2 linked regions of the Oryctolagus cuniculus genome follow. The protein of the gene in region 2 binds, or shares a complex with, the protein of the main gene of each other region. Links are inferred from orthologs where the notes say so. Each region holds a gene or a part of one and is shown on either strand. Other genes may lie near its edges.

What was found. Proteins that work in one complex are often made in the same cells at the same time.
Region 1: USP39 (region 2) and LSM5 share a complex: the UniProt entries of both Homo sapiens proteins name them as parts of the U4/U6-U5 tri-snRNP complex. The link is inferred for Oryctolagus cuniculus from reciprocal best matches to the Homo sapiens genes USP39 and LSM5.

What each region holds. Positions count from the first base shown.
Region 1 is NC_091447.1:23,532,966-23,537,258, forward strand, and holds the start of LSM5 (U6 snRNA-associated Sm-like protein LSm5), read right to left. Parts: upstream 2,900-4,293; 5' UTR 2,788-2,899; coding exon 2,742-2,787; intron 1,637-2,741; coding exon 1,541-1,636; intron 1,260-1,540; coding exon 1,232-1,259; intron 271-1,231; coding exon 198-270; intron 1-197. UniProt on the Homo sapiens protein: Plays a role in pre-mRNA splicing as component of the U4/U6-U5 tri-snRNP complex that is involved in spliceosome assembly, and as component of the precatalytic spliceosome (spliceosome B complex).
Region 2 is NC_091433.1:117,024,907-117,028,558, forward strand, and holds part of USP39 (ubiquitin carboxyl-terminal hydrolase 39), read right to left. Parts: intron 3,392-3,652; coding exon 3,166-3,391; intron 519-3,165; coding exon 441-518; intron 1-440.

The DNA of each region.
Region 1 (4,293 bases), on a different chromosome or scaffold from region 2:
AGCAAAAGTAAAAAGCCCAGCAAACTAATCCTTAGGCCTAACACCTTCTCAAGAGCTTGGCTTTAGGGCCCTGACTACCAGACAATCTCTTTCCCACCCTAAGCACCACCAAGCCACGGCATGAGTGAAGCAACCGGCAACATTACTAGTTAGGTCTGTAAGCCCTGTCCCACAGAAACAGTTTTAACGTGTCTTACCATTGTTATATTATTTCCATTTAGCAAAATCTGATCTAATTTAGTGATCCTTCTTCCTTCCGGTGTGATTTCACTAAATGAAGTGATAAAACAGAAAGTCAGGATAAATGGTGGTAACCAAAGGCAGCATTTTAGAAACACCTTCTCTCTCTAAAAAGGTAATGTTTGTATAAACGAAAGTTCAGCAATTATAAAGGTGATTTTCAGAGATAAAAGTTATCCACTGGGTAATGTACACTCTTCATCAAAAGCAAGAGTAGACCAATGGATATAAATAAGATCCATAGCCAAGGGGGCTGGCACTGTGGCTCAGCAAGTTAAACTGCTGCCTGCAGTGCTGCATCCCATACAGGCACTGGTTTGAGTCCTGGCTGCTCCACTTCCAGTCCAGCTCCCTGCTGATGTGCCTGGGGAGGCAACAGAGGGTGGACCAAGTGCTTGAACCCCTGAACAGATGTGGGAGACCTGGGGAAAGCTCATGGCTCCTGGCTTCAGCCTGGCCCAGCCCTGGCATTGCAGCCCTTTGGGGGAGTAAACCAGCGAATGGAGGATCTCCCTCCTTCCCTCTCTTTCTTTCTCTCTGTAACCTGGCTTTTGAATAAATAAAGCTTTAAAAAAGATTCACAGCCATGAGACTTATCTTCAAAAAAAAAAAAAAAAAAGGTGGAACCTGCCAAGATCAAATATAAAATATTTAGTAGACTCACTCTTTAACATTTTGTATTACTACTGATTTCTACCCACTAAACTACTATGTAACTAATACTTATCACTTACATTTTACATTATATAGTTAAATGTTTTCATCATCAGGTCCTTGATATGACCTGAGCCTTAAAATCCCTGCACGTTAACATCTGTTACCTTCAAGCTTTGTCTCCACTAATTTCCTAGCAATTCAGCAACAATTACATAACTTTTACAAGCATTAGTAAATAAAAGTTGCCTCTACTTCCATTTTGCTGACTAAACAGTACTTAAAATGTCCTGAATTTGAAAAAGAGCCGAGTTCTGTCATTTTTAGCACTACTCACAATTCAGTGACATCTTCCAATACCATATCTGAAAGGTGGTGTTAAGGAAATAAACACTCCAGGTTGAAACAACTCTGGTTTCTGCTTTCATTCAGTTGTAATGATAATATTTAACACAAAGGCTCATAATAAAAAGGCTGACTGTTGGTAGGAATGTGACCTTCTTCCAGTATACTCACCTCTGAAAACACCATCACAAGTGCCCTGAGATGAACTGACTTTTATCGTTAACACCCAGAAACACACTGTCTACGGTTCTGTTATTAAATAAACAGGAAAAAGCCACAGCACCACGTTTTAAAAGGATACTGACGAAGTCATCGAAGCCAAGAAGGGTGCCAACAATTTCCTTATCACTCTTCATCACAATGTGAATTCTGGATCCTATACATTTATCCACAAGCTCTGCGTGAGCAAAAAGATTATTTTACCCATTCATCATTTTAGCACATACTCGAGTGCACGCTGGCATTTGTTACTTGCCAAATTCAGTGAAAATTAAACTAGGAAGAACATCCCCCTTTGGTAACCTCGGATCTTAAAATGCAAACCTCTGCGCTCCCACTACTTAATCAGAAGCCTTTCCACTTCTCCTTTCTGTGCAGCAATCTATCATGATTGTGGCTTTATCTTTATTCCAGATCACGTGATTAATTTAGGGACACAAACACATCCCCCCAGACTCTTAAGCGCCACGAGCCCGGACACTGTGCTCATTTTCGCCCATCGCTGGATCTTCAGTGGACAGGGACGGGCATTTACGGGGCTTTCCACGAGCCTAATCACTGAAGTCCGTCAACGCAACCACTCCTCGCCGGCTACACAATGTCAGAGGCCGCTGACCGTCGTCGCGGGAGCCTCCTGTCACCTCCTCCCTCGCCAGTGAAGCCCCGCGGTGCTGGGGGCAGCTTCAGCACCTCTGGCCAGCCTGGCACGGGGGGCACAAGGTTTACTTGTCCAGTACTGTCTCCTCCACTGGCTTGTGTACCCTTCGGGAGCGATGGCTGTGGTTTAAGGTCGCTGTGGACTAGCACGCAGGAAGAACACGGGCTCTTACTGAATGGATGGATGAATGAATGAATGAATGGCAAACAGGGCTAGTTTCCAGATTCCTCCTCTAAGGCTCGTTCCACAGCGCGCTGCTTCCCGCTCAACTCCCAGACACACAACAGGGTGAACCCCATCTGGGGATCCCAAATGCCACTCCGGACACGGCGCCGCAGCGCTCCCAACAAACACGGCCGACGGTGCGCTCGCCCAGTGCGGCCCTCTCCCGCCCACGGTTCGTTCCGGGGGAGTCCGAGGAGCTGCCTCCAGGGGCAGGAGCACGTTACATCGCAGCAGCGGCCTGGCGCGCAGGAGCTCGGGAGCCGGCGCGAGCCGCGGAGGGGAAACGCTCGGCCCCACACATAGGCCCGCTACCAGCCAGGGGTGCCTCGGCCGCAACCCCGCGGCCCCCAGTCCTGAACCCCAGCCTCCCGCCCCAGCTCCCTCACAGGAAAACCATTACCTAGCGGCAGCAGCTGCGAGGGGTTCGTAGTAGCGTTAGCCGCCATGGCTACGCCGGAAGTGGCCTGCGTCCATCGACGTTCCACGGTGACTTTAAAAGAGCGCGCCTGCGCCTTTGCCCGCGGCCGGGCAGGCTCGACCAATCGCAGGCCGAGCGGGCGGCCGGCGTGCTCCACGTGGGCGGCGCCCGCGCGCTGCCTTGCTGGGGAGTGGGAGTCCTGGGGTGCTGCCCTGCAGATTCGTTCCCAGGCTTCGGAGAGACGCTGAAGATTGCTAACCTCCTGAAGGAGTTCGTCCTCCGACCGAGAGGACAGCGCATAAGGAAACTTTTGGCTTGTTTTCCCATAAAATTGTCTTTATAAAGACTAGTAAAAATCAGTATTTCCCGCCACCAATTCACTCTTTGACAGAGTTACAGTGAGAGAGACAGAGAGAGGTCTTCCGTCCGCTGGTTCACTCCCCAAATGGCCCCAACGGCCGGAGCTGGGCCGATCCGAAGCCAGGAGCCAGGAGCCTTCCCTGGGTCTCCCACGCCGGTGCAGGGGCCCAAGGACTTGGACCATCTTCCACTGCTATCCCAGGCCATAGCAGAGAGCTGGATCGGAAGAGGAGCATCTGGGAATACAACTGGTGCCCTTATGGGATGCCAGCACTGCAGGCGGAGGATTAACCTAGTGTGCCACAGCACCGGCCCCAAAAACATTCCTTTTCTTGAGGCTTCTGTCCCGGTTGCTCCTCTTCCAGTCCAGCTCTCTGCTGTGGCCAGGGAGTGCAGTGGAGTATGGCCCAAGTGCTTGGGCCCTGCACCAGCATGGGAGACCAGGAGAAGCACCTGGCTCCTGGCTTCAGATCAGCGTGGTGCACCTGCCGCAGTGCGCTGGCAGCAGCGGCCATTAAGGGGTGAACCAACGGATAAAGGAAGACCTTTCTCTGTCTCTCTCTCTCACTGTCCACTCTGCCTGTCAAAAAAAAAAAAAAAAAAAAGTAAAAGAGGGGCCAGCGCTGTGGCGTAGCAGGTAAAGGCTGCCTACAATGCCGACATCCCATATGGACTCCGGTTCAAGACCAACTGCTCCTCTTCCAATCCAGCTCTCTGCTGTGGCCTGGGAAAGCAGTAGAAGATGGCCCAAGTCCTTGGGCCCTGCACCTTTGTGGGAGACCTGGAAGAAGCTCCTGGCTCCTGGGTTCGGATCAGCACAGCTCCAACCCTTGTGGTCATCTGGGGAGTGAACCAGTGGATAGTGCCTCTTCCTCTCTGTAGTTCTGCCTTTCAAATAAATAAGTAAATCTTTTTTTTTCAAAATGGTTTACACATTTTTTTTTAAATGTAAAATTTTGTTTTATACTGAGGATTTATAATAGCTTTTTCCTTTTAACTTGTTGCTACTTTCTTAATTTATCATCCTTGCTGTATCTAAAACTCTGTAGTTTATTGAAAGCTTATTTACTACTTATTCAACAAAGTATTATCTAAGGCTATCACCAGATGTCAGTCTAAGTTATGTGTTAATATCATCACACTTAGAAAACATACTTTTACGTTTCTGTTTTGA
Region 2 (3,652 bases):
GTCATCAGGCACTAACCTTTGAAGGAAACACTGGCTTCCTAGAGTTCTTCCCAAAATGAGATGTTGCAAAAGTCTGAGCCAGATCCTTGAGTCTCCCTTTCTCTGGCCTCCTATATCAATATTCTTTATATATATATTCCTATCATCCACTATGGGGCCCTCGTCAGGGCCTGTGACATGATATCTGGGTGTTCAGCATCCAAAACTGAGCTAAAAAAATTTATTTTTTTTACAATGTTGGCCTGCCTCAAGAATTTCATTACATTATGAAAAAGACTAACATAAGGCCTATTCAGGAAGAAAATTTAGCCTGTGTGTACGACAGATACCCTCCCCCCCTGCCCCCACAAGATAAACAGTTAAGAACAAAAGAATGGAAAGTTGCAAAGTTTTTTAAAGGGAGCTAACAAGAGCTTCTTTGTACAAGCAGCATGACTTACTCTTCTTTTTCTTCTTTGTGCCCCCAAGAGCTGAGTGCAGAGCATTCAGGAACCAAGACAGGAAGTCGACTCCATCGCCTGGAAAAAAGGAAAGGTGGCACACACTGAGGCTGGCAGTCATTCAGGAAACCCACACCACGACTCCGTGACTCCATTCCTGGATTTGCTCCTTCCTCTCTGGCCACATCACCCTGGTCCTGTTTATCCTCCTGTCTGAACACTTACTGCTGGCGCTCTTCAAGGTCAAGCTGTCGCTCTTCCAATCTTTCCTCTCTCACCAGGCTCTCTGAGCCACACTAGCATGTTCAATTTTCATCTCTAACCCAAATTGAGTCTCATTACCCAGGGACGGCCAAAACCAATGACCAACAACTTCTCCAGGGTAAGCTCAGGCTTCTGTGTTCTTTTCTCTAGCTGACAAAGATTCCTGTCTCAAATGGGAGAAATTATTTGCAAATTATGCAACTGATAAAGGATTAATACCAGAATCTAAAAAGAGATCAAGAAATTCCACAACAACAAAACAAACTTACTTAAGAGATGGGCCAGTGACTTAAAGTGACATTTTTCTTTTTCTTTCTTTTTTTTTTTTTTTTTTTTTTTTTAACAGGCAGAGTGAACAGTAAGAGAGAGACAGAGAGAAAGGTCTTCCTTTGCTGTTGGTTCACCCTCCAATGGCTGCCGCGGCTGGCGCGCTGCGGCCGGCGCACCGCGCTGATCCGATGGCAGGAGCCAGGTACTTCTCCTGGTCTCCCATGGGGTGCAGGGCCCAAGTACTTGGGCCATCCTCCACTGCATTCATGGCCACAGCAGAGAGCTGGCCTGGAAGAGGGGCAACCGGGACAGAATCCGGCGCCCCGACCGCGACCAGAACCCGGTGTGCCAGCGCCGCAAGGCAGAGGATTAGCCTAGTGAGCCGCGGCGCCGGCCTAAAGTGACATTTTTCAAAAGTGGGAATCCAAATGGCCAACAGACACATGTTCAGGATCACTAGCCATCAGGGAAACGCGAATCAAACCACAATGAGGTTTCACCTCACCTGGGTTAGAATGGTTTTCATACAAAAACCAACAAGCAACAAATGCGGTAAGGATGTGGGGGAAAGGGTACCTGAATCCACTGTTTGTGGGAAGGCAAACTGGCTAAAGCCACCATGGAAGACAGTTCGGAGACACCTCAGAAATCTGAATATAGCCCTACCATACGACCCAGCCATCCCACTCCTTGGAATTTACCCAAGGGAAATAAAATCGACAAATAAAAGAGCTATCTGCACCTCCATGTTTATTGCAGCTCAATTCACAATAGCTTAGACATGGAATCAACCTAAATGCCTGTCAACAAGACTGGATAAAGAAATTATGGGATATATACTCTATGGGATATATACACTATGTTTGTGTGACAACATAATTATCATGCCCAACAATGCTGTGACAGGAGAAACTGGGTAAGCTTATTCTTTGGCCACCCTGATTTTCCAACCAATGATGTTTTAGCTTTCCAGTGTTGTCGAAAGCTGGGCAACTCCAGCATCCACCCTTAGGCCAGGAGTCATCTACGGAGCACTGTGAATGCAGTGCTGGCCCATCAACAGCTCAGAAAAAATCTCTCCACAAAACTTTCATACCTGATGCAGCCTTAATATGAAAAGCCGGGACTATGGACAGAACTGGTCCAGGTGTTGCGTCATGGCAAGTTAAGCTGCCAACTACAGAGCCAGCACCCCATACGGACGCCAGTTCAAGTCCTAGCTGCTCTACTTCTGATCCAGCTCCCTGCTGATGCATAGGGGAAAGCAGCAGAGGACGGCCCAAGTGCTTAGACCACTGTACTCATGTGCAAGACCCAGAAGCAGCTCCTGGCTTCAGACAGGCCCAACCCTAGCTGCTGCGGCAGTTTGGAGAGTGAACCAGTGTATGGCAGACCTCTCTCTGTCTCTCCCTCTCTCTCTGTAACTCTGCTTTTCAAATAAATAGATAAATCTTAAAAAAAAAAAAAAAAAGGTTAATACCCTAGCCATGCTAGCTGTTGGAATTCAATGGTCCTACACAGCTTGGTTGTCACCTGGTCACAGGGCAAGGTGTTCTCAGAGGAACATTTTACTGCTATCTTGTAAACTCCCAAACACCATCAATAGCCATGCCATAACAAAAAGGGTCTTCAGAAAGTTCACAGATGATGCATATTATGAAAACATCATACAGATTTCAAATATTTTTGCATCCAAATAAATGTATTGCTTAGTTCAATCAGAGAGAAGTGAGGAACCTAACCATGCTGTACATCAGTCACTCATTTGGCTACTATCAAGATTCACTATTAAAAGTGAAAATAGGGGTCAGTGCTGTGGCGTAGCAGGTAAAGCGGCCCCCTGCAGTGCCAACATCGCATATGGGCTCCTGTTCAAGTCCTGGCTGCTCCACTTCTGATCCAGCTCTAGCTATGGCCTGGGAAGGCAGAAAATGGCCCAAGTCCTTGGGCCCCTGTACCAGTGTGGGAGACCCAGAAGAAGCTCCTGGCTTCAGATTGGCTCAGCTCCAGCCGTTGAGGCCATTTAGGGAATGAACCAGCAGATGGAAGACCTTTCTCTCTGTCTCTCCCTCTCTTTGTCTGTAACTTTACCTCTCAAATAAATAAATGAATCTTTAAAAAAAAAAAAAGTGAATAAATTTGTTCATTAAACTAGTTTTGTTGTCAAAGCAACAGGAGTGACCGTTTTTACCTTGTTTGGTGATCTGAAAAGTCTTCTTGCTGCAAAGGACAACAGCCTGAAGCATCTCGTGGGGAGAGACATGTGCCTTGAAATTTCGGGGATTCCAGAGCTTTCTCATCAGCTCCCCAAAACGCTGGACCAATAAGAACATGATATCCCCTGGAGGTCGCTTGATGTTCTTATAATTGTCTTCTTCCAAGAAGTAATTCCGGAGAGGAGGAACATTAGATAGTGCCTGCAAATAGAATATTCCAATTAATCCAAAGCCCTCTGGAGAATCCTATTCAGAACATCCTTCCCACTGAATCTGGTAGGAAGCACAGTTCTATGAAGACTGTGCTGATGTGGGTATCACAAAGGAATTTGTAAAAAGGTATTCAAATCTCCAAGCATTGAACAATTTATTTAATAATATCCTTTCTTTGGGGCCGGCGCTGTGGTGCAGTGGGTTAAAGCCCTGGTCTGAAGTGCCAGCATCCCTTATGGGTGCCAGTTC